4 linked regions of the Lonchura striata genome follow. The protein of the gene in region 1 purifies or fractionates together with the protein of each later gene. This does not show direct contact. Links are inferred from orthologs where the notes say so. Each region holds a gene or a part of one and is shown in the gene's direction. Other genes may lie near its edges. The genes, in order: EIF3B, EIF4E, MTOR and EIF3L.

What was found.
Region 2: the proteins of EIF3B (region 1) and EIF4E purify together in Homo sapiens (affinity purification with western blotting; 5 studies listed by BioGRID and IntAct, with this or other methods). This does not show direct contact. The link is inferred for Lonchura striata from reciprocal best matches to the Homo sapiens genes EIF3B and EIF4E.
Region 3: the proteins of EIF3B (region 1) and MTOR purify together in Homo sapiens (affinity purification with western blotting; 3 studies listed by BioGRID and IntAct, with this or other methods). This does not show direct contact. The link is inferred for Lonchura striata from reciprocal best matches to the Homo sapiens genes EIF3B and MTOR.
Region 4: the proteins of EIF3B (region 1) and EIF3L purify together in Homo sapiens (affinity purification with mass spectrometry; 8 studies listed by BioGRID and IntAct, counting the BioPlex papers as one, with this or other methods). This does not show direct contact. The link is inferred for Lonchura striata from reciprocal best matches to the Homo sapiens genes EIF3B and EIF3L.

What each region holds. Positions count from the first base shown.
Region 1 is NC_134618.1:13,450,322-13,457,430, forward strand, and holds the start of EIF3B (eukaryotic translation initiation factor 3 subunit B), read left to right. Parts: upstream 1-4,108; 5' UTR 4,109-4,248; coding exon 4,249-4,636; intron 4,637-7,109.
Region 2 is NC_134606.1:49,886,358-49,893,454, forward strand, and holds the start of EIF4E (eukaryotic translation initiation factor 4E), read left to right. Parts: upstream 1-4,085; 5' UTR 4,086-4,272; coding exon 4,273-4,413; intron 4,414-7,097. UniProt on the Homo sapiens protein: Acts in the cytoplasm to initiate and regulate protein synthesis and is required in the nucleus for export of a subset of mRNAs from the nucleus to the cytoplasm which promotes processes such as RNA capping, processing and splicing.
Region 3 is NC_134626.1:5,764,175-5,771,814, forward strand, and holds the start of MTOR (serine/threonine-protein kinase mTOR), read left to right. Parts: upstream 1-4,636; 5' UTR 4,637-4,720; intron 4,721-5,751; 5' UTR 5,752-5,795; coding exon 5,796-5,915; intron 5,916-6,299; coding exon 6,300-6,408; intron 6,409-7,640. Other genes in the region: UBIAD1 (ubiA prenyltransferase domain-containing protein 1), read right to left, coding at 480-967, 2,828-3,350. UniProt on the Homo sapiens protein: Serine/threonine protein kinase which is a central regulator of cellular metabolism, growth and survival in response to hormones, growth factors, nutrients, energy and stress signals.
Region 4 is NC_134607.1:23,541,932-23,548,790, forward strand, and holds the start of EIF3L (eukaryotic translation initiation factor 3 subunit L), read left to right. Parts: upstream 1-3,841; 5' UTR 3,842-3,938; coding exon 3,939-3,971; intron 3,972-4,047; coding exon 4,048-4,096; intron 4,097-4,175; coding exon 4,176-4,386; intron 4,387-4,967; coding exon 4,968-5,047; intron 5,048-5,301; coding exon 5,302-5,363; intron 5,364-6,655; coding exon 6,656-6,725; intron 6,726-6,859. Other genes in the region: ANKRD54 (ankyrin repeat domain-containing protein 54), read right to left, coding at 3,022-3,069, 3,420-3,660. UniProt on the Homo sapiens protein: Component of the eukaryotic translation initiation factor 3 (eIF-3) complex, which is required for several steps in the initiation of protein synthesis.

The sequences.
Region 1 (7,109 bases):
TTTTCCCGTGGCATTTCTACCGCCATCCAGGTGATTAATCAAGTCTCCTATTCTCAGTATTTATTTATATTTTGCATGCATCTGGATTTTTGGTAAATTTGGTAGAAATGAACACTAAGCTATTCAGAAAAGCACAGAAATATGAACATTTGAAATGCAAATACACTTTCCAAAACTACATAAAAACAAGAACTTCGTGTATGAGCACCTCTCATTTTATTAGTTTTTTCCCACTTCCTGTACTTTATTAGTCAGGAATGATATAGCTGACATGGTAAAAAAAAAGGTGCATGTTTTGTACAGCAATTTTCCTAAAAACACTGTCAGACACAGAAAAAAATTTATAGATTTTGGACTTCCAGATTGAGGTGTTACAATCCATAATAATGCTTTATGTTTTCAACGTCCAAAGGACTAGATGCATTCCCTAATTAATATTCCTGATATTTCTTAATCATGGGAAGCTAGTCACCTCCATTGTGCACAGGAGAGAACTAAAGTAGAAAATTATGAAGTGAGAATTATTTCAGGGCTAACTGTGACCACAGTGCTCCCCTTTGGAAGTTTTTGCGCTGCTACAAAGATGTGAATGAGTCGAGTGATTCTCCTTTTCCTCCTCCCTCAGTGCTATTTCAGCTCAGTCCCCACGAGCGTGGGTGCAGACGAAAGCTGTGTATAAAATTAAAAAAGCATGACATTATTTAAGCTGAGAGGCCCTTCAAATCATGTTTGTGCAGCAGCTGAGCAGAGTTCTGCGTGCTCAGCACTTCTGAACACCACAGGATTTTTCGCCTATATGGCATTTTTGGAGAAAATGAATGGAGGAATCAACATGTTCTCATTTAGCTATAGATTTTTGATTGGTCTGTACTTAAGCTAATAGCATAACTATTTATTTGGTATAAATAAGATATTCTCAACTGAAGATTGCCTTGGAGTCTTGAAGAAAAATATTGTGGAAAATAATTCAATTGCAGAAATAATTTTTCAACAGGATCAGAAAGAGTCTGCTTGATGTAAGTTATTGAACACTTCTGTATTTGCTGTAACTGCAGCAAAAGCTTCTGGAAAACCTTAAGAATAAACAATAAATACTAAAGAAAAAAAAGGACACATGTCAGGAAGGGACCTTAAAAATCATCTTGTTACAACCCCATTCTGTGGGCAGGGACACCTTCCACTAGCCTGGGTTGTGCCAAGCCCCATCCAGCCTGGCCTTGGACACCCCCAGGGATGGGGCAGCCTCAGCTTCTCTGGGCACCCTGTGCCAGGGGCTCCCCACCCTCACAGGGTAGAGTTTTTTTCCTAATATCTAATTAAATAATCCTAATATCTAATCAAAACCTACTCTATTTCAATTTAGTAAATAGTCTCTCTCCATGTTTCTTGCAGGCCGCTTCTGGTATTGAAAGGCCACAGTCAGGTCACCCTGAAACCTTCTCTTCTCCAGGCTGAACAATCCCAGTTATCTCATCCTTTCCTTCAGGAGAGCTGCTCCATCCCTCTGAGCATTTTATTGGCCTCCTCTGGACCTGTTCCAAGAGGTCCCTGTCCCTCCTGTGCTGGGACCCCAGAGCTGGATGCACGACTCCAGCTGGGGCTCACCAGAGGGGCTGAACCAGCAGGTTCCAGGTGACAAAAGCAAAGCAGAAATAGGTCCCTACCCGAGGCCCTGCCTCACAGAGTGTCATTCTGGGCACGTCCTGTCAGGATTAGATGAAATTTCATACAAGAATTTGCTTACTCCTTCAGAATTCAGTTTAGGAAACAGAGCTGTCAGCTCCACTATTCTCAGATCACCTGCACGCAATAAAATTCATGAGGCACTGCTGGTTGGAGAGCTGTGTTACAAAAAGCCTTTCCTGCAACATTTTTTCCCCCCAAATTTCCCATTGATTAGGAGTTTTGCATGTGGAGTACTTAAAGGAACAGGCTTCAGCTGCCAGTGCCAAAACCTCTGTTTTTAAAAGTTGTTCTACTCTCCCTCAGATTGCTGAGTAAGGGCTGGAAGAAAAAAGAATAGCAGTGAGATAGGACAGGGACTGAGGGGAAATTTCAACAGAGAAAGGAAAAGGAGAAGGAAGGAAGAGCAGATAAATCAAAAGTTGCTGAAAAGTAGAGGAAAGTGCAAAGAGCAGCCTGTGCAATGTCAGGGAAAGGAGAATCCAATGTTTAGATCCACTGCTTAACCAAAGGACTGGAAAAGTGCAAACAGGAAAAAGGGCAATTGCAGAAATTGCACATTCCAGCAATGCAGACAACGGTGGGAACGGTGAAACAACAGCAACACCGACCTCATACACAGCCCTGGAAGAGCCACGGAATACTGAGCACCCAGCAGGGACCATGGATTGACCAGCAGCCTGTCCTGCCTCACATTTGGAAAAACACACAGTTGTGATGGCAGGAAACAGCACTTTCTGTTCACTTCAGAGTCAGTGCTGGTGCTGACTGGAAGTCAGGGTCTGGTCAGCTACCACGATACCAGGAGGGGGAAAAATTGCTGCAAAGTGGCAGTCATCATTTCCATTCACCGGAGCTGCCTTCAGCAGGGAACGGGCACACTCAGCCGGGGGACTGGAGTGGAGTTTGGATGCCATCGTGTGCCTCCCTGAAAAATTACACAGCACAAAGTCTAATTTTAAAAATGCCATGTACAGTACCTTCTCTGCCTTTTTTTTTTTTTTTTTTTTTTAATGCTGGCATTGTCTGTTTTGACAGTTAATTGAAAGCATTGTGCTAAAAAAAGAAATCCTACTCAACGCAAGTGTTTGTCTCCAAGTTTGTACAGAGGAACCATTCTCGAGAACTTTTTCCTCTAGAATTGTCATCTCAAGGTAAATTCCAAGTTCTTTGAGCCACACTGAATATACGATATATATATATATATATATATGTGTGTGTATATATATATGTACATATATATATACATACATATATATGTATGTATATATGTATGTACATATATATGTACATACATATATATATGTATATATATACATATATATATGTATATATACATATATATGTATATAAATACACATCGTGACACGAGTCACACTTTATGTATTCTTTGTATTCTTCATCAGCCTGAGGTGCCCGGGACAGCATGCGATGCTTTAATCGATAACGTGTGGCCAAGTCTCTGGGGTCAGTCATGCTGGTAGCCAACGTGAAGATAGGGGAGCTTCACCAGTTCAGAAACCATTTAAAAATCACGCTGAGCCGCCAGGACTGCACACCGTGACCCCTCAGATCCCTGTCCTGTGTGTCCGGCTGCACCGGGAGCTCACCGGACCTTTAAGGCTTCTCGCGGGGCAGGCAGAGATGCCGCAGCATGGCCACTGTCACCTTGTACCTCAGGAAAAATGTTATTTCAAGCCCACAGAGGAGAGGTGGGGCCAGAGCAGCGCTCGGTCTCCGCCGCCGCCCTCAGCCCCGCGCCCCGTCCCGCCCGGCTGATGTGGCGCTGCCGCCGGGCCGTACCACATGGCCCCGCCGCCGCGGGGGGTGCGCTGACCCGCCGCCCTCGCCGCGCCCCGGCACAACCGCGTCGATGCTGGCGAAGCACCGCGCGCCTCCCCCTCCGCACCGGCTTGGTAGTGCCCGCGCGCGCGCCGACTGCCATCAGGCGAAGCCATAGTGAAAGATTGTAGGGGGGAGCGGTAGGGCGAGGTTCGTGGCAGTGCGCTGCCCTGTCACCGCGGCATTGTTCTGTCACCGGCCGCTCAGTCATGGGCAACGACATGTGCTGAGGGAGGAGGTTTCACTGGGCGTCAGCGCAGCTAAATGGAACGGCGCCCCCCAAAAGATGGTTCGGCCGGACCCCACCCCAGTAGAATGGAAGGCGGCGCCATCTTGGGCTCAACCACAGCAGTCAGAAATAGGGATGTCAGGCGTGCAGTGGGGTGAGAAGGCGAAGCCGCCGCCGCTGGCGGAGCGAGGCGGGGCTGGCAAAGGCACCGGAATCTCCTGTGCGCGGCGGGGAGAGCGGGCGGCGGCGGGCGGCGGCGCCGGCTGGGGCGGGGCTCCCCCTCTGGCCGCGCGCGCGTTGGTAGGTGCCGGCGCGCGCGGGCCGCTGGGCCTGGCGCACATGGCCCGGCCGTAGGAGCCGCCCCGCCCCTCCCCCGCCTCGCCGCGCTCCGGACGGCTCCGGGACCGGAGCACCGGGCACCGGGCACCGCACCCACACCCGGCACCGCACACACACCCGGCACCGGGCACCGCACCCACACCCGGCACCGCCCCATGCAGGACACCGAGGAGAGCCCCGCGGCCGCCGCGCCGCCCGGCGCGCTGGGCCCCGCCGAGCAGCCCGAGCTCACGGACGCGCCCGCGCCGCCCGCGGAGCCGCCGCAGGAGCCGGAGCCGGAGCCGGAGGAGAAGGAGGATGAGGAGCGGGAAGGAGGAGGCGAGTCCCAGGGGCCGCCCGAGGAGCCCGAGCAGCCGCGGCCGCCGTCCGGCCGGCAGAGCCCCGCGCAGGCCGAGCCCCAGCCCGAGCCCGAGCCCGCGGCCGGGGCCGAGCCCGGCGCGGCGCAGCAGGACGGGGAGGCCGCGCCCGCAGCCCCGGCCGAGCCCGAGGATGAGATCTCCTTCAGCGACCCCGAGGACTTCGTGGACGACATCAGCGACGAAGGTGCGGGACGGGGGGAGCCCGTGGGGAGCCGGGGAGCGCTGGGCCCCGAGCCCTGCGCCTCCGCATCCGAGCTGTGCTTCTCAAATCGTCCCTTTTTGAGTTCTCTCTGCACCGCACAGCCCCGCTGCTCTAAAAGCTGCTGTTGAAGCGGTTCTGAGCCGCTGTACACCTCAGGTGTGGGCTGCCCCCTGAGCGCAGTCTCCAGCTGCCTTGCCTTTTTGCTCCACTGGTTAAACTCAGCTGTAGAAACAGATTTTTTAAATGGTCGATGTGGTTACAAACTGTGTTTCATCGTTCTTCTTTTTTTTTTCATGAGCCCAGAATGAAATCAGTAGGTAAATAGGATTTGAGACGAGTTACTGCTCGCAAAGATGTGATGTAAGTGCTTTGTGATAAGAAAATAGGGGAAAGTCGTTTCTGGCAGCTAAAAATGTCGGCCCAGACTTTTATAAAAGTACTGGCTGTTGACTGCCTTAATATTGCCAAACTGTTGTGTATCTGCACAGACAATAAATGTTTATACATGGGCTTGTCATACAGAAGTGAGAACTCTTAATTTAGTGTTTTTCAGATGGGTCTTTCCAGATAAATATTCTTAGTTTTTGAATAGCAAACGTATTTTTTCCCCATTATTTATTCAGCATTTGTGCTATTTTAGGGTCTTTAGGGTCTGTTACATGTATCAAAAGTGGAAAGATGCTTCTAAAGCACAGAACTGTAAATCAGCCAGTTATCTCAACTGGCAGTGGAATACAGGTGCATTCTTGTGCTCCAGTCCTTGGTTTAGTTTACTAAAACAGCAGCCAAATATCCTAGATTAAGGAAGTGTTTGCTGTTCTCAGTTTAGCAGTCTGTATGGCAGCTGTTTGAACTTTTGTTTCTTAAAGAGACTTTGGCAACATTGCCTTGGAGTTGGATTCTTTCTGTTAAGTGCCTGCTTAATACACTTTGTGTATATGTGGGATTGTTATGTTCAGTTCCTTCTTAGAAACTGGGCATATTTTCCACCCCCACCTATTTTGTTAATTAATTTGGGTGAACTTCTCAGCTGCCTGAAATCCAGTGTTAGTGGCTGAATTACAGGGATTAAGTTTAGTCACTCTTGTTGATCTGGCTTTCCATCTGTGTGTGTTGCTAGTTGAGCTTCCTTATTCCTTTCCCATTTTTCTGGTGCCTCCCCAAGGAGAAGAGCAGCCCAGTGTGACCAAGCCAAGGCTCTTTCAATGCTGTGCTAACACAGATGCTCAGGAGTACCTGTGGGATGGACCAGCTGTAGGACTGGAACATCTCAGATCCTTTCCTGCCTCTTCTTTTCCCAGCTGCTGGCATGGAAGAGCAGCTGATCCGAGTTAAAGCAGAAGGGATGTGTTGGACAGACACTTGGGTACCAGTGAAGCTTCAGTTCAGATAATGGCAGTGGTCCTTAAAGTGCTGCCAGCTGGAGATAGCCCTGCACCCACCACACCCTGCTTCCCTCCTGGCTGCAGCAGGAGCTGGCTGAACCAGCTTCTTGCTCTTTGAAGATTCCTTTGTTCACTATTTGGAATTTAAGGGCACGGTGTGGGAATTTGTCTTCAGTCTGTTACAGTTTTGGTTCTATACATGGTGTTCCTACTCAGGAATCTAAACGTGCGTTCCTTGGCCTACAAAGTCTTTTTTGAGAAGTGGCTATGAAAAAAATGCCTAAAGGAGCCTTAATTACCCTTTTGTGTTTTACTTTGGTTTTCTCCTTTTGCTAGTAGACTCCTATGGAAATGTCTTTGTAGGACATGCTTTCATTTTATGTATTTTATATCGTTATTTGTAGTTCCTGCATGCACATGCAGATGATATTTTTGAGTGATAAATATTGCAAACAACATTCTGTGGATGCTACATAGCCTTGGTGGTAATGGGGTAGATATTTGTGATTTATGTTGCTCCAGATCAATGGGAAGCTTCATGTGGAATAATCTGTTGAAGCTTGAAGTTGTACAAAGCAAATTTTTAGTAGTTTGAAATTCAAAGTAAGCATGTTTCTCATTTTTCCTCATTGCTGGAGATCCTTCCAGTGATGTTTCTGGGCAGAAAAATTTATTGAATTACAAAACCAACAAAAATTTAATGTCTTTGAAATATAAGCATATACAAAACATTTTTTAGTTTGTTCTCATATTTTAAGTTTTTCTACATGTGTTTGGAATTTTATTTCTTAGTCTATGCATGCTGTACATAGTCTGACTCCAAATATTATCTAATTCAAAAGTATGGTGGTGTGAACTTATTTTCTCTGTAGTCTTGTACTTTATAGTGCTCTTCACTTAATCTTAAAGCTTTCTGCAAATATTCAGGTATTAATATGTTAGAAGAATATTCAGTGTGAAAAGATGTGTGCTTGTCTTCACAAAGATTAAATAGGGCTTTCAGTGTCTTACCTTAGACCTTCATTTTTGTGCTTAATTAAAGGTTTAGCTAGAGTGTGATTCTTAATTAC
Region 2 (7,097 bases), on another chromosome or scaffold:
TCTGTCAGGCTTTTCACATCCCTTTCTGGCTGCCTGTCCCCCTGTGTTACAGACCAACGCACAGAGAGGGGCGTGAGTCACATATTTTATAGCCCATTCATGATGCTTGATTTGTGTCCACTGCTGTCCTCCCAACTCCTCCAAAGTGATGCAAGGCTGGGAGTATGTGAGGGCAGCAAAGAGGGCAAAAGGGGAGGTCAGCCATGTCTCATGGGTCAGAGAGCAGCCGCAGAAAAGCGAGAGCAGCTGGCAGCTGAGACAGCTGCTGCTTAGGGAGAAAATGGCCACTGAATTTGACATTACTTAATTAAGAGAGCACCTTAGCATGGGTCCCCCCTCCTTGCTTTGCTTCTCTACATTGCAGCAGTGGGGGCTGGGCAGTCTCCCTTTCCCAATGAAGCTCTTGGTAGCTGTCTCCTGTTCAGGCTCATCGAAGACACAATTAAATGCCTCTTTGTCTAGGGAGGGCTGAAACAATGCAAAAATGCCACCCAGGAGCCAGACCACATGCAAATGTGCCCTGCTGTGGCTTGTCCAGATGGTACAGGCACTTAGTGAGTTTCTCATACCAAATGCAACAGTTATGTAGGTTGTGCATGTCTGTCTGCCAAAAACAGAAATCGCAAACCCATCACAAGCACCTCAAAGATGGCCACAAAAGCACTACCTCAAAAAGTGAATGGAAAACAGCCCTATAGGAAGCATTACCCAGAGGAAAAGACAAACCTGTGCTCAAAGCAAAATACTAAGAGCATAGGGGGGAAAATCATTGTAAACATCTTTTGTGTATGAACAGAGTTGCACTAAAGAAATACATGCCTCCATTTTTTTCTCTTTAAGGAAAAATCATGCGGGATTTCAAGTTCTGTCCAATTCTCTGAAGTCAAAAGAGGTTGCAATGTATTTTAAGCCCCTGCATCACTTTTATCCCCTCCATTGGTACAGATACAAACTAAACTACTGAAAGGCCCACTCCAGCCACAATCCAGGCTGGAGCAGCCTTACTCAAAGCTAATTCCAAGCAAGCTTTAGTTGTGGTGAAAAGGAAGATCCTGCATTCTTTTGTTTTGTTTTGATTTGATTGTTCAAGTTTATGCCTCTTGCAGAGTCTGTATTTAATACAGGGTATCAAATTTGCACTGTGATGTAAGAATGGCTCTCTGTGCATTCAAGAACACTCTTCTGGTATCCAAAAATTTTAGCAATTTCCAATGTATGGATATGAAACTGATTGTTTTATCATGGGACAAGATCAAAGGGAAACAAGCTGCATTTTTGTAAAAAAAAAAAAAAAAAAAAAAAGGTGTTTTTATAAAAAGCATTCCTATTTAACCAGTAAGTTGCAAGCCTTAAAGGGAAAAACTCTACTGCTGGAAATATTTGAAAGAATCCACGAATATGTCTGGAGATTAGAACAATTTTATTCGTTGCTACAGAAAAAGTAGAAGTCATGGAGTGAAGTTCTGGCCCAAAGAATTAAACTGAATTCAACAGGAATGTTATTGATATCCAAAGAGATTTAGTTTAGTTTGTGTCATCAAAGGGCCATAAAATAGACTTAACAGTAGTAAAATAAAATCAGTGTTTTATTTCCACTTTAGATACCATGGACAATACTGTGTGACATTAAAAATTATTTTTATTTTCAGGTTTCAAAATTAAATTTAGATTATCAGCTTTTTAATCACATACAACAGTATTCAAAAGTATTATTTCATTCAAATCACTGAGATATAAGTGTGCAGATCAATTCGAGCTCATACCTACACACCTCTGACTTGGAGATGCACATTGGAGATGTTCCCAGCACTAGCTAGATTCACACTGGAAACTGATAAATCCCTGAAGGACTGCTGAAGACGAGATACTCAGCATTTCTTTACTTCAGCCCCTTCTTTGCTCCACTATGACTTCAAAAGGTGGGATTTTCTGGCTATATCTGTGATACCTCTTTGCCTTCCATCTTAAATCACCTTTTAGTTTGAAGATTATACCACTTGCAAGGCAGCCACATCACTTCTGAGCATCTGGTCTACTATGTGTGTTATATCGTATCTTTGCTACTGTAAGTTGTTGGATAACTTCTGATATAATCTTTAGAGGCTTTTTGCCTCCAAAACTCAACAAATCAAAGGAAAGCATATCCCAAACCACAACACGTGCTTGCTTCCCATTTGTGTGGCAATGAGGTAGGCCATGTTCTGAGCTCAGCTGTGCTATATTCACCTAGCTAATTAAGAACTGTTAAAAAGCATAGCTGACTTATAGAGGGCTTCATGCTGTTCTCCTTGCCTTGCATGAGAGAAATGAAATAGCCAAATGCTATATGACATTCAATACAATTTGGTGGTTAATACGCACTTATAGATCTTCTCAGTAAAATGATGTTCAAGGCTGTAAAATGTGTGTCTGTACACTTTGCTGTTTGAGAATAAAAATACAAAGTTAAACACAGAAAAAGATGAAAATAAACTATCAGGGAAGAAGATGATTTTGGATTGATTATTTATGTTAAGAACCTTAAAAGCAGGATTAGAACAGGTAGTCAAAGAATGTACATGTCTGCCAAGCAAGTAAAGTGGAATATAAGATCCATATGGCAGCATAGTAGGCAAATAAATAGGAAGATTTATTAATTACTGTTTTGCATCAAACCGTCTATAAAGAATTACCAGAAATCAAATTTTGCAGAATAGGTAAAATGAACTATATCTATATCCATATCTATAGATATAGATATATATGCTGGGAAAAAAGAACAAACAAAAAAAAAACAACAACACAAAAAAAAAAAAAAAAACAGTAAAAAAACCCCTGCTTCTTCATGTACTTTCTGAATGTACAAATTTCAGAGATTATGTTCTTGTTTTGCCATCATAATGTGATTTAAAATTATACCGTTTAGGAAGAAATATTTTGTTTTTCAATTTCTGTTTTGTCACTGGGATAAAGATATGCCCCAGTTCTTTTACTTTGAAAACTGTTACGGTATTTGTTTCATCAAGAAGCATTACAAAAGGGTAAGAACTTACTTATATATTTATTGTGTTTTTCTTTATTGAACCCTTTGCCTTTGGTAAGTACTAATGAAATCACAGCACTGAAATGAATCCCACGGCTGGGATTCATTATTTGGTTTAACAGGCTGCCCCGGGGAGTGGTGGAATCGCCGTTCCGGACAATGTTCAGAAATATGTGTGGATGTGATGTTTATGGACATGGTTTCGAGCTGGGCTTTGAAGTGCTGGGTTAACACTTGGACTCAATGTTCTTAAAGCTCTTTTCCAATCTAAATATTCTCTGATTTTGTTCCGGGGACAGGGGGCACAGAGCGCTGTGCCGGGGGCACGGGGGGGCTCTGGCGCCTGCGGCCGCGCCGTGCGCTCAGAGCGGCGGGCGCGCGCTGCTGCTCCCACAGCGGCCGCCAGAGGGCGCCCCCGCGCCGGCCCGCCTCTTCCTGCCCGGGCGGCAATAGGGGGTTCCCGGCGGTCCCCGCGCTGGGTGACTACATCTCCCGGCTGGCAGCGCGCCCCCAACGGCCGCCGGGCGCTCGTGACCAATCGCGTGCGGCCCGGGGCCTTTACCCGCCCCGCCCCGCCCCGCCCCGCGGTGCGTCCGCGATCCGAGCGCTCTAAGATGGCGGCGGTGGAGCCGGTGAGTGCCGCGTTCACTTCTCCCGCCCGCCTTTACCTTGCCTTCCTCCTACGGCATCCTTATCTTCTTCCTCCTCGTCGAGGCGCCGCTCCGCCGGCCGCGGCGGGCGGGGGCGCGGTGGGGGCCCGGCCGGGCGGTCGGGCAGGAGTCGGCTGGCCGGGGAGGCCGGCGAGGAGCGCACGCTCGCAGGGGCCGGGGAGGGGGCGGCGGGCGCCGTGGCTGTGCCGGCACCGCCGCCCGAGCGCGGCGGCCGCGGCTCCGGTGGGGTCCGGCGGCAGCGCGGCCCGCGGTCCGGCGGCGCCCATTGTGCGGCGCCCCGCCCGCGGCCCCGGCGGCCGCCCGGCGCATGTGGCGCGGTGGGGGTGGCCATGTTGGTTCCCGCCGCCGCGGCGGGCCGGGCGGCGAGGGGCGGCTCCTCCGGCCGTGAGGAAGGGCCGCGTTCCCGGCACGCCGGGCCCCGGAGAGGCGCCGCGGGGAGCGAGCGCGGGCCGGCAAGGCACAGATGCGCTGCTGGGGCAGCCGCCGCCACAGCCCGGTGGTGAGAGTCAGCAAACCAATCGCTTTTCCCAGGTTGTGTCGTCTTTTATTCGAGAGGATTTTTTTTTTTCCAGATCTTTCATGATATTCATGATAATTCAGTACTTCTTTTTGTTTTTTCCAGGTGATAAGTTATGTTCATGGTATATTATGCTCGGTCTTAACAAACGTAGCCCCAGCCTGCACTTCCATAATGAGCTGGAGCAGCTGGAAGTGATCCAAGTACAGTTGTTATTCTAATCCCACATGATTGTGTATCATGAGGAGAGGACAGCCGACGACTCTGTTAGGGTTTCAAGAAAACACAGTTAAGGAGGGCTGGTCTCTTGTTGCTGTGCTCGCCAGCTTTGAATAAATAGCCAGTGTGCTGTTTGGGGAGGCTTTGTATCATTTAGACAAAGTGAAAAAAGTTTGAAATCAGTGGTTTTAAATAAAAACTAATTTTGCCATTTTTGATTTTTCGCTTAATGGTTTTCTTGTGTGAAACAAACCTCAGATTTTTATCCATGAGGAAGAGATTGAAGTGGGTTAGCATTTATAAATTGTGTGGCAGCAGTTCTGTACAAGGAGAGTGTCAGTTATTAAGACTGCAAGACAGACCACCAGCAGCACCCTTCCGGTGTTCTTCAGCCAGTGTTAAACACTTGTTTTCACATCCCGGAGCCAGTCTTTGAGTTGTTGCCCACTTATCTGAAGATGAGGGCTTCCTCTCGGTGCAGTGCCTTGTGGTGACTGTGAAGCTTAGTAGGAATTGTGATAAATAACTTGTAATACAGCCATTAGAAAATGAAATTACTCTAAAGGCCTGCACCTTGCGGCTTTCTTAGCTGTGCTGCTCGCACAAAAACTGTCTTTACACCATTTTCTCCACTAACTCCATCAGCACATTGGGGTAGATCCTGGCCTAATGTAGCAGAAAGTAAACGATTGCTTTTGCCGTGCTGTGTCCCAGCAAGATTGATTGCTCAGATCCAGTTCAGTATGAGCAGTTGTGCTGAGCCCCTAAAAGTAGAAGATGGAGCAAAACTCACAACAATTTAAGTAATTAATGCGGTTATTGAATGTTTTGCTGTAGGTGCAGTATGTTCGCATTCAGGAGTCAGCTACCAACCAACTGTGCGTGCTTATTTTCAAATTGCAGTAAATAACAAAGTCTTTGTTATTGTCCTTGTAAGTGGCTCCCTTCTCTCGCCTAAGCCTAAAGTTAGGCGTGTGTAGTGACTGAGGTCAGAGGTGTTGCAGAAATACTGCGTGCTTTGTAGCTGAACAATTTAATTGCATGTGTGGTCAGGGACTACCTCTGGATCACAGGGAGGCCTTTCTGTTGCTCACCTGCAAAATCTGGACCTTGGTTTGTAGAGATGTCATCTGTAATGCTTTCCTGGTAGGAGAATGAAATGAAAATACAACTGAGTAAGGGTTGGTTTTGGTTTTATGAATACAGGCTTCTACTAAGATCAGTGGTGTTTCTTGTACTGTCATAGTTTCAAAAGTAGCATACATTGAAAGTCTTAAGAGGCTGGGAAAATGTTTGACTTAAATACAGAAACTTAAGTTGAGAATTCTGTAGTGAGTCCCATAATAGTTGTCAAAAAAGCAAAATTATTCTGTATAAATACAGACCAATTGCACAGTGGTTTACTTCTCTGCTGCAGGGAGAACTTAAACCTTTGCAACACTGACAAGTAAAAATTCTGTTTTTCTTGTGATATCTAGGTTTTTCTTTTAAAAATATTCTAGATTAATTTTTGAGACTATGCAGAAGTATCACCTGTTAGAGTGCTGTTATAAGCACTGTTAGAGTGCTTATATAGCCTTTGAGGATTAAATGTGATCAGAGAACACCATGCAAAAGTCCATGACAAAACGAGGAGTAATGCTTTAGTAAACAATTTACCAAAGGTGACTTTAAAATGTACCTGCACAAAGCCTGTAACTTCTAGGTGCATATAAATCTAATCCCTCATTGTGCAAATTGGAAATGGCATCATGGCTCTTTTGCGTTTTTGATTAATGGCAGTTATAATTACAATTCTTGTGAATTTAACTCTATTTTTTAGCATACAACAGTGACATTTCAGTTATCTGTAATTTGAAAAGCACTTGTTTGAGAAGGTAATCATACATAGGTGAGAATCAAAACTTTATTTAAATGAAACTACTATCTCAAGGGGTTACAAACATAGTGGTGCAGGACCTTAAAATGCTGGAAAGCTCATAATAGCTCCTAAAATTCCATGTAGGCTGAAAGGTACTTATTTTGCATTATCTGTAGACAGGTAGCATGTAATTTTAATTCAACTTCAGACTTGCTCTTGTTGCTAGGTGTTTCTGCTGTAGAAGTCAGTGACCTGATCTGCTTGAAGTTAGTATAGCATTGAACTGCAGTATTGTGAACACAGTTGCTTGCTCATTGCATTTTTCTGAAATGATGCAGAATAGATGTACCTTTCATGCTGTTTTATAATTGAGAATATTTATCATAAGCTTTTGAATTGTAAATAACATATCTGAGTTATTATGGAGCTTCCTCTAAGAGGGGTATGTTGCACAACTTATTTCAAAGACATGCATAAAAATGGCATATGAAATCAAGGTGTGTTTCATTTACTGATGCTGTCTGCAGGTATGGAGGTACATGCAAAATTTTTTGATGAAAAATATCCCTTTTGGCAGCTTTGTAAAGATTAGTTTGAATTTTGAGGTGATAGAGTGGAGCATTAAATCAGGGATGTTGGTAGAGTGCCTCCATTGTGAAAGAGAAACGCAAACTTTAAATGTGAATTAATGTGACTTTTTCTTCGGATAAATTGTCTTTCAGTTTTGAACTATTCTGTAATCGAGGTTAAACTTGAGTTTAGAAGCTGTTTATTTTCTTGCAGTAGTCTTCGTTTCTTGACGTTTAA
Region 3 (7,640 bases), on another chromosome or scaffold:
GAAGTGAATTAATGGCACCTACATTGTGATGCTAAACATTTGGCAGTGTTTTCTGACTCCCATATGGGAGCCACTGGACTCTTTCACCACTATAAGAAAAGAAGTGATAAGAGAAATCATTGTGCTTGTGAAGTGAATGGAGAGTGTGATTTGAGGCTCTATCTTTCATAGAGTGAACTGACAGTGAAAAAATTACATAGCAGAAGGATGAGGTTCTTTAAACATTTCCTTGACCTGTCCCCTTGTTCCTCACATCAAAGCCACACAGTTCTTCTGAAGAACTGATAAATCACTTTTTTGAAAGTATAAGCTGTGTTCTATAAGCTTTCCATGACCAGAAATCATAATTTCACTATCAACAGTGCAAGGTCTTTCCATTCTTCTCACTGTCCATAACGTCCATTTATTCATAAATTCATATTTATTCACTGTTAATTGGCATGAATAGTGAATTATGAGGCTTGACCCTACAGCTCTTTTCACAGTTTGGGCAGAGCACCAGCTGGTGCCAAGGTAATGCCAAAGACATAGAAAAGGCCCAGCAGTAGGTTGAGTTTGGCTGTCCGCTGAGGAATTTTGCAGAAGTTCTGACTCCGGAATTGTCTTTCCAGCGAAAATGCCATGGGGATGGTGAGCAGTGGCAGTGCCATGCTGATGGTATAACGTGTGGCCAGCACACAGAAAATCAGGTAGGGCAAGAAGAGCAGCACAGTGTAGAGGATATAGGAGAAGGTGGGGCCAATGAGGATGGCCAAGGTGACAATGCCCGCCTGCCGGTCCGACTCCATGTCCCGTGTGTTGTTGCTGTGCAGGATGGCCTCAGTGCTGAGGGCCAGAGGGACAGCGTAGAGCAGGGGTGACAGAGACAGGTAACCAACCTGCACTGCGTGGGCAAACATCACAGCCAGGGGCCCAAAGGTGATCAGGATCACCACGTCGCCAAGCGCAACGTATTTAAATCCAATTCCTGTGGCAAGACACAAGGATAAAGTCAAGCATCATTAAATAATTCAAATGACAGAAGAGCATGGATGACATAACAGTTCCCATAGGAATATTCCTATTCCTGAAACGTAAATTTTAAGGAATTTAGGGATTTTAAAGGAGCTAAGATTTTAGTTAGAGATAAGCCTTACTAGAATTAATTAAAATAAATGAGTAGGCCGTGATGAAGTTAAGAGTTAGGAGTTAACTAATAATTGATTGCTTGTCAGCACAATGTTTAGTTATCTGGGTTTATAATGAAGAATACACAAACTGACAAATAGCTTTTAGGAACATAAGACAATTGTGGCCTCCTCTGTTCTGAAACCAATTGAAGACAAGGAATGGGAGTTCTACCAAGAGTTCATTTGTGATATTGGCATTGAAAAGGTAGAAAGGTCAGAACGAGGAAGACTTCATTTACTTCCTCATTTTGGGACCCCTCCCCATGAAAGGGACACCGACCCATTTCAAGGAACAAACCATGCATGCTGAATGGCTTTTGAAGTGATTAGCATACAAAGCAGGGAATGGGATGTACCAAAATGATGAATATGGATTTGTATTTTGGATATTCAATATTTGTATGGATAAAAAGACTCTGTAATCACCTGGAAGCTGCGGTGTGGATTTGGGAGTGATCCTACACACAATAAACACACATTTTTCAACTTTAAACTGTTAGAGAGTTTTTGTCCATCACAGTTGGATATTGGTACTAGATCAATATCCATATTTTTAAATAAATCATTCCCATATTTCTATATATCCAGCCTTGATGCTGTTGAGGCAGGATAGGAATGAATAGACTTTGTTCAGAAGGCTGCGAGTATAACTCTGATTTATTTATCACTCTTTATATTGGTCCTGAAGTAAAAACATCTCACCTATTGATGTGCAGTGAAAGACATGCAGTACCAAAACCTAACTATAAACAATGTGAACAACAAGAAGATAAAGAACCTTATTTACATTCTTCTCAACAGTTTCTCAGGCTTCTGTCTGGTTAGAAACTTTCCATTTCTCTCTGAGAATACCCACACAGCCTTTCTCATAGGAACATTACAAAACAACCAAAGCACATGCAGCTATGGACAAGAAACACATTATCTCCTTCTTTTTTAAGGTAAGAATTTCTCCAGACAAAAAATGTAAGGGCCAGGTTTTAATGCCCATCTAGAAAGACCTGTCTTTTCAGAAACCTACAGAAATAAGGTATTTTTTTTTCAGTGTGATCATGTATACGAAAACCTGATCCTAAAGAAATATAGAAAATGCTCAGAACAAAATGCAAAAAATGACAAGACAGTTTCAGGGAAACCCGCATAACTGAAATTCTGACAGTTAGAAACTCAGCTGTTTTTTCTTCCCCTACTAATGATGTTTGTATCTGTCTATCCAATACAGGAAGACACTAAAATATCCTTGTCTTATTAAGGAGAATCACACACTGTACAGCATTCATAGTGAAGCTCCATCTAAAGAATAACAACGAAACATTCCAAAACAAAGTAACATTCCCAGCAAAGAAAATATGCCATTAGCAACACTGCTAAAGGATATGAGATAAACTTCACAAAAAGATTCAGCAACAGTTCTGGGAAGCATCTAAAGCCATATTTGTAAACAGTAATGCCTCAACACCACTATCTAAGTGAAGATGTTAGTATGACTCTTCCCACAATATTCAATTGCAAAGAATATAACTTTATGTACCAGTACTTCAGGAAACACCACAAATATTTTATTGCAGTGCACTGTGTCTTCTAGAAGCCTCTTGACAATTCCGCTGATTCTATCACTTCTACAAGCAGATTCACAACTAACGGGATGCAGCACTTACCTCCGGTATAAAGGAAGGAGCTGGAAAGTCCTCCAAAGTAAATCAGGGCCAGGTGCTCCAGCTTGAGCGTCGAGACAGCGTAGAGACCAGCAGCGCAGATACAGCCCACGGTGTAGAGAAAAACTCCAAACCGCACCACATCCTGCGGCTCCAAAATCTGGTCCACCAACGTCCTGTCATCACTCTTCTTATGATCGATGCCTTTGGAAAAGTCATAATAGGTGTTCACCAAGTTGCCGGCCCCGTGCACAGCCAGGACGGTCACGGCGCTCCCTAGCAGCAGCCCCGGGTCCAGCGCTCCCTCGGCGCGGTAGGCCAGCGCGCTGCCCAGCGCCACGGGGGTCAGCGAGGCGCTGAAGCTCCAGGGCCGGAGCGCCAGCACGTAGGCCGCACACTTGTGCCTCCAGCTGCCGGGGGCGGCTCCCTCAACGCCCGCCAACGCCGCACCGCCGCTCTCGCTGCCGCTGCCGCGGGGGCTCTCGGCGCTGATACTGATCTTCTGCACCAGCTCCGCCGGTCCCATGCTCGCCCCGCCGCCTCGCAGCGGCAGCACCTAGAGGGGGAAGGGCCGCTCGTTAGCGGGGCCCGGGCGGAGCGAGGGGCGCCGCCGCCGTCACGGCCGGCGGGAGATGCGCGGGCGCCGCCATTACGTGGCCGCCGGCCTGCGCGGCCTCGCCACCCCCGCGGCCCCGCGCCAAGAGTTCCGCACCTGCCGGCACCTCCCGCTGTCAAATTAAAACGAAAATTTAGCGGCCCGCGGTGTCACGCGAGGCAGCGAGGGGGTCACCCCGCAGCACGCGCCGGCACTACGATTCGTGTCATAGCCGCCACGACACGAAGCCTGGCGCGGACACAGCCGCCCTTGCGCTGTCACGGGCAGCCGGACACATTTCGGCGGAGCACGGCGCGGCAGTGCCCTCCCCGCTCCCGTCACGCATGCGCAAAGCGCACTCGGGGCTCAGCTTGCGCCGGGATGGAGCTTAAAGCTCCTCTGGTTTCATCCCGCCACGGGCAGGACACCTTCCACTGGCCCAGGCCCCATCCAACACTTCCATGGATGGGGCAGCCACAGCTTCTCTGTGCCACGACCTCCCCAAACATTTTCCTAACATCTAAACTGAATTTCCTCTCTTTTAGTCTGAACCTGTTCGCCCTTGTTCCTGGTTAAGAGTCCCTCCTTGTATGCCCCTCCTGGTACTGAAAGGCTGCTCCGAGATCTGCACACAGCCTTCTCTTCTTCCACAAGAGCACCGCACAGCTCGGTGTCACTTGCTGAGGGTGCCTCAATCCCATTGTCCATGTCGCCGACAAAGTTGGTGAATACTATCAGCCCCAGCACCACCCCTGAGGGACGCCACTCGTCCCTGGTCTCGATGTGGACAATGAACCGCTGACCGCAACTCTTTACGAGCGTCTATCCAGCTAGTTCTTTATCCAACGAGTGGTCTATCCATCAAATCCACGTCTCTCCAGTTCAGAGACCGGGATGTCATGCGGAACGGTGCCAAAGGCTTCACACAAGCTCGAGCAGGCGATGATAGTTACCTACCCATGCTGCAGCCCGGCCATAGCCGGCACCTCACGGAAGGGCGGAAGCCGGCGTCGGGAAGGCGGGCCTACTGGGTAAACCCAGCCATTCTATTGGTCAGCTTTACTGCCACTCAGTCTCTACTGCCTTGATGATTGGTCGAAAGGCGGCTGTCCTTGCGGTTCTTTGGGTCAGGGGCGGAGATTTGAGCGCGTTTTCCCCGTTTCTCTTTTCCTATTGGTCAGACGAGATGCCGATCAAGGCATTCCTGGGCGCCTATTGGCCAGCGGCGGCTCGCCGGCGCTGCGGGCGCGGCGGCGGGGCAGGCACGGGCCTGGGGCCCGGAGTAGGGGAGGCGGCGGCGGGTGAGTGAGTGAGAGCGGCGGTGCCTGTCATCATCATCGGCTCCCCTTCCCCTCAGCTCCCGCTTCCCGCCCGCCCCGACCTGCCCGAGCCCCCGGCCGCGCGGCGCTGCCGCCCTGCGGCCCCGCCGGCCGTGCTCGCCTCGCCCCGCCTCACCCTCCCTCACGCTCGGCCTGCGGCGCTCCCCCAGCCCCGGCTCGGGCCCGCCGCGTTCTGTGGCCCTGAGGGAGTGCCAGGCACCGGCTCCGGGCTGGGTTGATGTCAGTATCCACCCCCCGCGCTGCTCTTTGATGCGGAGCCTCTCCTGGGCTCCTGCCAGCAGCCGCCTCACCTGTGGTCCCGCTGGATGTCTGCGAGCGCGTGTGGAATATTTGGGGAGTTCTGGTGTTAGTGCTTGGCTTGGTTTTATGTAATCTGAATATGGGGGGGCGTCAAGCGTCTGAAATGTTTTTGACATAAAGAAAGGCTCCCGAGAAAGTTTGTTTATGTGTCATGCTAGGAAACCCCCTGTTGCAATGATTGGTGTTGCTATAACTGGACCTCCCATCTCTAAATATCTGTTGGAGAATGTAACACTTGCCAGTGCTGAGTCTTCCTTGTGTTGGTGTAACACTGAGATTTCTGTGAAGAAACTTGGATGAAAGTGTTCAGGGAGGAGTCAGATATGATCGTGATATAATCCTTGGAATGGTTGTGCTTACTTATTATTGGTAATTGCAAACCCTGGTTTTACCCTGCTGTTTTTCAACTGTTGCATTACTCTTGATTTAAGATTAGATCACCCTAGAGGACCTGGCCTACTGTAATGTATTTTGGTATTTGAGGAACTAGAGAGCAAATAGGCTGGGTGTCATGATACGTGGTGATACAGTTTTATCATGGAGTGTAATGCCTAAGGAATATAGTCATTACTTGTAATTTTATGGTCTACACAGCATCTTTATGGGTATTTTGGGAACAGTCAGGAGGGAAGGCCTTACGAGAGAAGCTTGGAGATTTCAATTCAAGCAGTAAAAAATGTGTCTCTCTGAAGAATTTACAGGACTTGATGCCCCTGAGCCCCAGCACACTACCACCATGTCGGGCACTGTGTCCATTCTCCAGCAATTTGCCAATGGCTTGAAGAGTCGCAGCGAGGAGACGAGGGCGAAAGCTGCCAAGGACCTGCAGCATTATGTCACCATGGAGCTGCGTGAGGTGAGTGCTACAAATGGGATTATTTATCTTTGTGCATCATCTGAGTGTAGATTATTGGGCTGGGTGCCTTGGGAATGGAGGTTTTTGGAATATGGAAGCTGGTCTCAGGGAAGAAATGGGGCACAGTGGAGAGCTTGTCTTTGCTCCCTGGCATGTAGGAGAGGTGAGCAAGTTGGTGACACAAACGGGTAGTCAAATACCAGAATAAATAAATTTGCTGCATATAGGTCACAAATAAGAGAAACTTTTTTTGAGCTTGTAATGTATGGTTGATTTAATGTCTTTCTGTTTAAGTGGCATATGAAGCACTGTCTTTTTGGAGGTTTTGGAGCAGGAGGGACGAAGAGAATGCTGAAAGCTGATTTGAACTTTTTGCTTTTACAGATGAGTCAGGAAGAATCTACCAGGTTTTACGATCAGCTGAACCATCACATATTTGAGCTGGTCTCTAGCTCTGATGCAAATGAAAGGAAGGGTGGCATTCTGGCTATAGGTAAGTGAAAGTGCATAATGCCTCTGCTGAGTTTTCTTTTCATGCAACTATCTTTAGGGACACATTTCAAAAGGAATGAGCTTTTATGGTCGGGGTCTGATGTCTGACAGCTCAAGATACTGGATGTGTTCTAGTTGCTGGCTCTGAAAATCTGCCTGAAGTGTCAGCATGGGAGCTACTGAGAGTGGCTGAAAACCTGGTACTTAATGGACTCTCAGCTCTTCTGGGAGTTGAGCATCAAATGTGAATGCTGAGCTCATGAAAATTCTGTTCTGGAGCTCAGCTGAGAACACTTTGTACTGCCCCTTTATATGTTTCAGGCTAGGCTGACTTTCTCAACTCTCTTCCATCTGGAAAGATTGATTCTTGTTATTTAAATTTACCTGGCTCTATAACAGTAACTTGCATCCCCAAGAGGGGCTCACATAGCTTCTGCTGTGATTGTGATCAGCCTCTCCATTAGTGGCTCTGGCTGTGTGCTCTCTGTGAGATTGCAGAGCTGCCTGAATCCCCACTCTATGGGAAGTCAGCTTGCATAAATACTTTGCCTTCCAGGCAAAGAGCCTGTATTGTAGCTGTTACTCCTTAAATAGCCAAAGAGATGTTTATGGTTTAGGCTCACAGACATAATCATCCAATCCCAATGTGTTTGAAGGCAGTGTAAATCCCTTAGAGAAATCTTTATTGATAACATCAGGTCTTAAGCTTACAGTATCACATTCAAATTGCTTTGTGAATTTAATGATGTTGAAAGCTGCCAGCTTGACAACCCTGATAGCCTCTTTATCTATAAAACAAGTGCAACCCAGGCACTGGCAACAAAAGCTTCTGCCATGCTGGTGTCTGAGGAATTGCCTCCACCCTGACCAGGAGAGACTGTCTCTAGGGCTGAGGAGGAGAGCATTTCCTTGGTCTCTTCAGTCTTTGACCTCTCTTGTGAGGTGGACTAGCTATAGTAGTTGCATGCAGATGTATGTCTTTCTATTAGGAACAGGTCTATGATCACAGGGTGAATTACTTTTTTTTCTCTTCTAAAACTAAAAATGGGGAAAATCTATGAGGCTACCAGATGCATTTTTCCACTCACTTGAAAACTTCAGGCTCAAAAGAATGGTGGCCTTTTCCTGTGCTTGATTTTTTTTTTTTTTCACCCTGTGGATTTTTAGTTTAGAGGGACTTAATAGGAATCTTTAAGGAATGTGTAGGGAATACTAGCTGTCATCCAGGGATTT
Region 4 (6,859 bases), on another chromosome or scaffold:
ACTGCATTCTTTCATCTCCCTGTTGGAAATGATATAACTTTTTAATAATTTTAGTTAGTGATTTTAATTAACTTTTAAATTAATAGCTCTAGTAAATCATAATCTATATATACAATTATAAACAGTGTGTGATTCTTAAATTATTCTTAGCCAGTATTTAGCAAAGCTGTCATAATGTACTTTTGTAGGAACATAGCTTGGGGAAACTACTGGAACTTTAACTTTTGATAAACTAACTCTGACATGCTTCAATGAACAAAACCTGAGAAAGATGTATGGTTGAGGTTGGACATCTAGAATGTAGAATTTATGGACCACAAGGACTGTGCAGAAACCAGAAGATAAATAAGGGACTAACAAAGACTTTCCAACTCAGTGTATGTGTTGGAAAGTCCCTACCAGAGGAGAAAGATACTAAAAAGACTAAAAATATAGACCAGCTAGCATGAGAAGCAAGAAATCAATACCCCACAGAGGACACCGTACTAATTAATAGAAGAGAATTATGCAATTTACAACCAATGAACATTCATTTATTTGTTTGCTAAAAAATATAAATAAGTGAAGAAGTTTTATATCTGAGTCTGAGTGGAGGTCAGAATTTTGTGAGCCACAAAAATCCCTCCTGGCCAGCAACAACGTAACATCTTACGCACTAACACTATAAAGAAAATGTTAGAGGGGTTTATTTACCCCAACAATTTAGAAGGATTTAGTAACAATTTACTGGTGACCCAGGTGAGACAACGCATTTGATGTTCCACAGACTTACAGGAACAAGGACTTTGGTGCACACTGAAAGACTTTTTTCAGGGAAAATGTTCAATCCTCTGATCCAGGCAAGTTCAAGGCAAAAAATCCTGGGAGTTTATTAAGACATTACTGAAGGTTTAAAAAGGTATACCTAATCATAAGCTTGCACTCTCTAACATAATAAGAGTTAAGAAAGTTATGATATATAATTGGCTATTTTCTATTAAAGTTAGTGTAAAACTCTGTAAGTGAATATTAATGGAATTGTGTTTGAGTCCCACTGTCTAGTTGGAAAACTCTAATTGTAAAACTATATAAGTGACAGTCAAAAGGTGTTGAGTCTTCACCCTCTGCTTTGCCCATAAATTAGTCAGACAGTGCTGCTTGCATGAAGAGCCACGTTGTGGAAGGGCTTTGCCCAGATATGTCTGCTTATTGAAGCCTATGGTATCTGTTAGTGTTGGAAAATGTGTGTGTTAACGTGTGTCATAAGCATAAATTGAGTCTGTATGAAAACTCATTGGCTGTAAGAGTGTTTAAGCCATTGTATGTTGACTGTGAATTTTAGTGTACTTGGTGTGTACTAAGTGTTTGGTTTTGGGTAATGTAAATTGTTAAAGCGAGGGTCCTTTGCTCAGAGCCCTCTCCTGGCGTTAGAACAGCGGCTGCTCCTCCTAGCTGACTGGGGTTATGTTGGTGTGCACAGAGCGCTCTCTCGTGTCGTGTTTTTGTCATTGCTGGAATTTCTATTTACTGTGGGCTTTCCTTTTTCTTCTCGAGCCCGGGAAGAGGGGTATACGCAAATGTTTGCCTTTAGGTTGCATTTTGCAGCACTGGAAAGAATTTAAAAGCAATTCTTTAACTGGTAATAGCATAATGTATTCTCTGGTGGCTAGAGTATCTATTAGATAATCAAGGAAAATGGTCAGTTCATGGTATTTGACACCAAAATGGTATTTTAGAGTTGATATTATATTGCCAAAAGAAAGAGAAATGGAACAACATAGTACCTCAAGCAGTGATGAGAGAAGCAGGAAAAGATAAACACAGAGAAACACACTGGGGAGCAGAAGCTATGAGAGACAACTTGAAACATCAAGCAATTAGTGTAAAAATACCAGGAATTAAAAGTGTAGTCAGTAAGTGTATATGTTTGCAACACAATCCACAGCCCTACAAAAGACCTCCTTTAGGGATTATAAAAAGAGAAAACTGTCCTGGAGTTTATAGGCAAACAGATTTTTCTGAATTACCTCGACAAGAAGGATATTGATACATATTGGTTTTAGCTGACACATTTTTTGGATAGCTACTTGCACCAACAAAGCAAGAGAAGTTACCAAGATATTGTTAAAAGAGATAATACCCCGATTTAGAATTTCATTCGGAATTAATGATCTATGATATCTTATAACAAAATACAAGCAAATTTTTTGCATCTTGATGTCTTAAGTTTTGCTAGATATTCAACAATTTAAGTGCAAGTAATCATAAAGGAAAATTAAGATCACTTCCAAAGGGGGAAATTTTTGGAAATGTCAGAACTTTTTAGTAATTTTAGCTAATGTTTTTAATTACCTTTTAATTAGATTGTTTAGTCATAATCAATAAATATTAATTCATTATAAATTGTGTGTTATTCTTTTATTACTCTTAGCCAGCATCTAGCAAAGTTGTCATTAAGTTCATTTTGTAGGAGCACAGATTGCAAAATTTACTAAGACTTTAAGTTTTGATAAACTAACTCTGATATGCTTCAATTAACAAAGCCTGAGAGACAAAGATGTAGTGTTGAGGTTGGACATCTGGAAAGCAGAATTTATGGATCACAAGGGAATTTTGCAGAAACTAGGAGAGTCCAGCTCTGGCCCTGGTTCTAATCTACTGGGTCACACTGCCTCATCATACAGTGTATGGCTTAGGTAATCATAACTTTTTCACCTAAATCAAAACATTATTCTCTTGCTGCTAACAACTGGGCAAAAGAACATACCAAAACAGCTGGGACAGTACAGCGTTGATTTAGGCCCAGGCAGATGGAAAACTAACACTATGAACCAGGTGCAATGAAAAAGTGAAAACAATAACCAGCCACACTCTGCTTGGAGAACAAACCTGGATTTTAAAAAAGCCTTTTCTACATCTGAAGCATCTAAAGCACCCTGACCACAAACTATCTGCATCCACTTCCTCCTCTCCTGGAGTAAGAGCCTTTGAGATAATGCCCTTCCAAGAAGAGGTCCCAAGTGGGACTGACAGAAGCCTTACCTGTGTCCAAATCGTTGCTATTGGCAGCTTCACGCAGCCTTTTCAGAGCTATGGAGGAAAGAAAGCAATTACTGGAAAGTACAGAGGGAAAAGGCACGTTTCCCTACAGACACGTTCCACCCCGGTGTTCGAGCACACGCGGGGGGCCAAATCAGGCTGCTACCGGCTCCAGAGAATGGGAAGCAGATCAGGACAGCAGGATATAGAATGGTTCTCCTGTCTCCTGCCGAAGCGGGCTGCGGGCCCGCCCGCTCCCGACGGGCGCCTTCCCCCGGCAGGGACGGGCACGGAACAGAGCCGCCCGCCCTCCCTTCCCTCCCTGCCTGCCGCGGCCCGAGCGGGGCGGGCCGCAGAGCGGCTGTTCGGCCGCGGGACAGCGGCTCCCCGCCGCCGCTCACCGTGCGCCTCCTTGCCCGTCGGGCCCAGCCGCCGGTGGAGGCGGGCGGCCCTGCGCAGGCGGCGGGCCGGGATCTTGCCCGCGGGCTCCTCCCGCTGCCACAGGACGTGCAGGTAACCGAGGGGTGCGTCCGCTCCGAGCGGCGGCAGCGCGATGCGCGGCTGCGGCTGTGCCTCCGAGTCCGGCCCCGGCTCCGAGTCCGGCCCCGCGGCGGGCGCCCCGCCAGCCCCGCCGCCCTCCATCCCGTCACGGCCGGGCCGGCAGGGGCGGGACGCCACCGGCGGCACAGCCCGCGGTGCAGCCAATGGGCAGGGAGCGGGCGGGGAGGCGCGGCGGGCAGGGGCCAGAGAGCCTGACGGGCAGCTGCCTTCCCCAGTCAGACAGAGAGGGGCGGCCGGCCCGCCCGGGTGAAGACAGGCACTTGCTGTGGCCAGTAGAAGGGCTCCGCTCGGCCCTTCGCCCCGCCCCCGCGCCAGGCCCGCGTTTCCGCCCGCAGCGCTGTCCGCGCCGCGCCGCCGCCATGGCCTACCCGGGGGAGGACTACGACACCGAGGTGCGGGCCGCGGGCCTGGGGGGCGCGGGGCTCGGGGCCGGGTTCGCGGGGACTCACTGCCGCCCTCTCCCCACAGGCTGCCTACGACCCCTACGCCTACTCCAACGACTATGACATGCACACGGGTGAGTGTGAGCGCCCCGCGCCTGCCTGCGCCCCGGCCGGGCCGTGCGGCGCTGCCTCACTGCTCCTCCTTCTCCGCAGGAGACCCCAAGCAAGACCTGGCCTACGAGCGCCAGTACGAACAGCAGACCTACCAGGTGATCCCCGAAGTGATCAAAAACTTCATTCAGTATTTTCACAAGACGGTGTCAGATCTCATTGACCAGAAGGTGTATGAGCTCCAGGCCAGCCGCGTTTCCAGTGATGTTATTGACCAGAAGGTGTACGAGATCCAGGACATTTATGAGAACAGGTACTTCCAACAGATGGAAATCACTGTTTTAACTTGTGATGCTGTTAAAAGGGAAGGCTGCTACCTGTGCTGTTCCGAACTTGGGCTTTCTCTGAAACGGGTTTTGTTTGGTAACTGTGAAAAAAAATTCGTTGGTATTACCAGCCCATTAGGCCAATGTGAGTATAGACGAGTTGTGATTTGTCTGAAGGGAAGTGTCAGCCCTGGCCTAACAGGGAGGGAGGCTGCAAAGAGGGCTCTCAGTGGTGTTAGTCTGGCAGTTTGCAAAAACCTGAGGTACAGCTTTTGTGTCTCTTCCAAACGGTTGCTTCCACTCCTGCTTGTAGCTGGGGCAGCTTGACTTAAAGGGAGTGTGGAAGTGACGTACATGTCTGTTTCATGCCTGGGAGATAAATTGCAATCTTACTGCTCAGCTTGTGATTCTCATGGTATGCTTCAACATTGGATTTACTAGCAGGGGTTGGTGGTGCTGCTCAGCTTTCATCAAGTCCAAGGCCTCTCTCTGTTGTCATCTCTGACTCCAGCACTGTCATACTGAGTGAAACGTGGATTTTCATACCTCATGTGTGTCTGTTTTTCAGCTGGACAAAACTGACAGAAAGGTTTTTTAAGAACACTCCATGGCCAGAGGCTGAGGCCATTGCTCCTCAGGTTGGAAATGGTGAGTCTTTCCACTTTCTGTTGGGTTGTCAGAGAGAGAAGGAACTGAATTTCTCCTGACCCTGAGTTATCAGGTGCACAGCGTTGTTGCTGCCTGAGTCGGTCGCCTTTGTTCACTCTGGCAGCTCTTTCAGCAGATGCCTGGCAAGAAGTCAGACTTGAGTGAAGCGTCTTTTTGTGCTTCCTTTCGTTGTTCTGGCAGAAGGCTTCTAGGCCTTGTGGCTTGCTAATGTCCTCTTATGTTGTCTTTTCCAGATGCAGTTTTCCTGATCCTATACAAGGAGCTGTACTACAGGCACATCTACGCCAAAGTCAGCGTGAGTGTTGGCCCTGTGTCTTCTTGTGGGCTGCTTGCTGGCTTCTCTGTGCCAGCAAACTTGACAAGTCTTGCTGCCCTACAGTATCAGTGGTCCCCTAACCTTTGCAAGGCAGGATTGGATGGGTTCATGAGCTGTAAGTCACACTGATTTTAGGGAAGATTAAAATTTTTGCTTTTGGTAGTTTAGTAAGGATTCACTGACTGCTGAAAAGCAAGAAAGACTTGATTGTCTGTTTGAGGCTCATTAGCTGTCTCTTCAGGCTTGGTGGTGATGAGTGTGCTGGTTTCTGTGGTAGCTCAGATGAATCAGGAGACTGGATCTGAGTGTTCAGGAGGCTCTTTGTTTCTAACAGCAAATGTAATGGTTAGTGAGTTAGGGAATAAGGGGGTGTTGGAAGGTAACTGAATTTTCCTTTTTTTTTGCTTATGTGTGTTTCTTTGTTTTTCCTCTTCAAATGAGCAGGCAGTGAGAAGGGGTGTCACAAGAGGAAGGTGCATTATTTGTCATAAAAATCCTCATATGGGATCAGAGTGCCTTATGAAAAGGGAAACATGGATACCATGAAGGATGGAGAAGAAGGAAATGAAAAGAATAGTGCTCTGTGAAACGAAACAAACTTTGTCTTTTTTAAGCCTATTTCTAAGTCTCTTTAATCAATGAGAAAGTCATAGTACTTGGTTCTTAAAGGAAAAAGTCTCAACAGATGCATGACTTTTGGGTAAATAAGTAATAACTGCAGTTTTATTGTAGACCAGAGGGTGGAGAAATGGACACTTTTAAAAGCCTGCTGTGTGCCCAAGCCAAACTTCAGCAGGAGAAACTGGTTTCTCAAGCTGTGCCATTAGTGGTTTTCAGACTCAGTGTCTCCAGCTGAAACAAGAACCAGTAGGTCAAGTGTCTAGGAATTATGTCCAGAAACAGAATTGTTCATCTATTAAGGCTTCTCATGAGCAGAGAAGGAAGGAAAGCTGGTGAAGGAATAGTGAAGTTCTTGAATCTGAACAGCAGAGGGGAGCAGGGAAGGTTAATGCAGAATATTCACAGGATGTTTGACTGCTTGATATCCTGGGAGAATCTGCCTATACAGGAAAAGCCATCCCTATTTTGTGGGACAGCAGTGCTACAATTACAGGTTTTCTGGGCGATGCTGGTGGGTGTCCTGGTTGAATACTGGCTCTAGCACTCCTGAACCAGACCCTCTACTGTTGTGACTGTCCTTATGCTGTTGCCCATGAACTCCCTCCTGCCCTGCTTGATTTGAAGCAGACTCTGCTGACTTCTCTTTGCAGGGGGGGCCCACGCTGGAGCAGAGATTTGAGTCTTATTACAATTACTGCAATCTCTTCAACTACATTCTCAGTGAGTTGCTGCAATTAATTTCTGGTTTGTGAGTTTTGGAGAGAAAGATCAGATGGAGAGGACAGAGCTGGACAAAGGGTCAGAAGAACAGCAACATGTTTCTTTATAAGTAATAGAGGGAAAGATATAAGCTC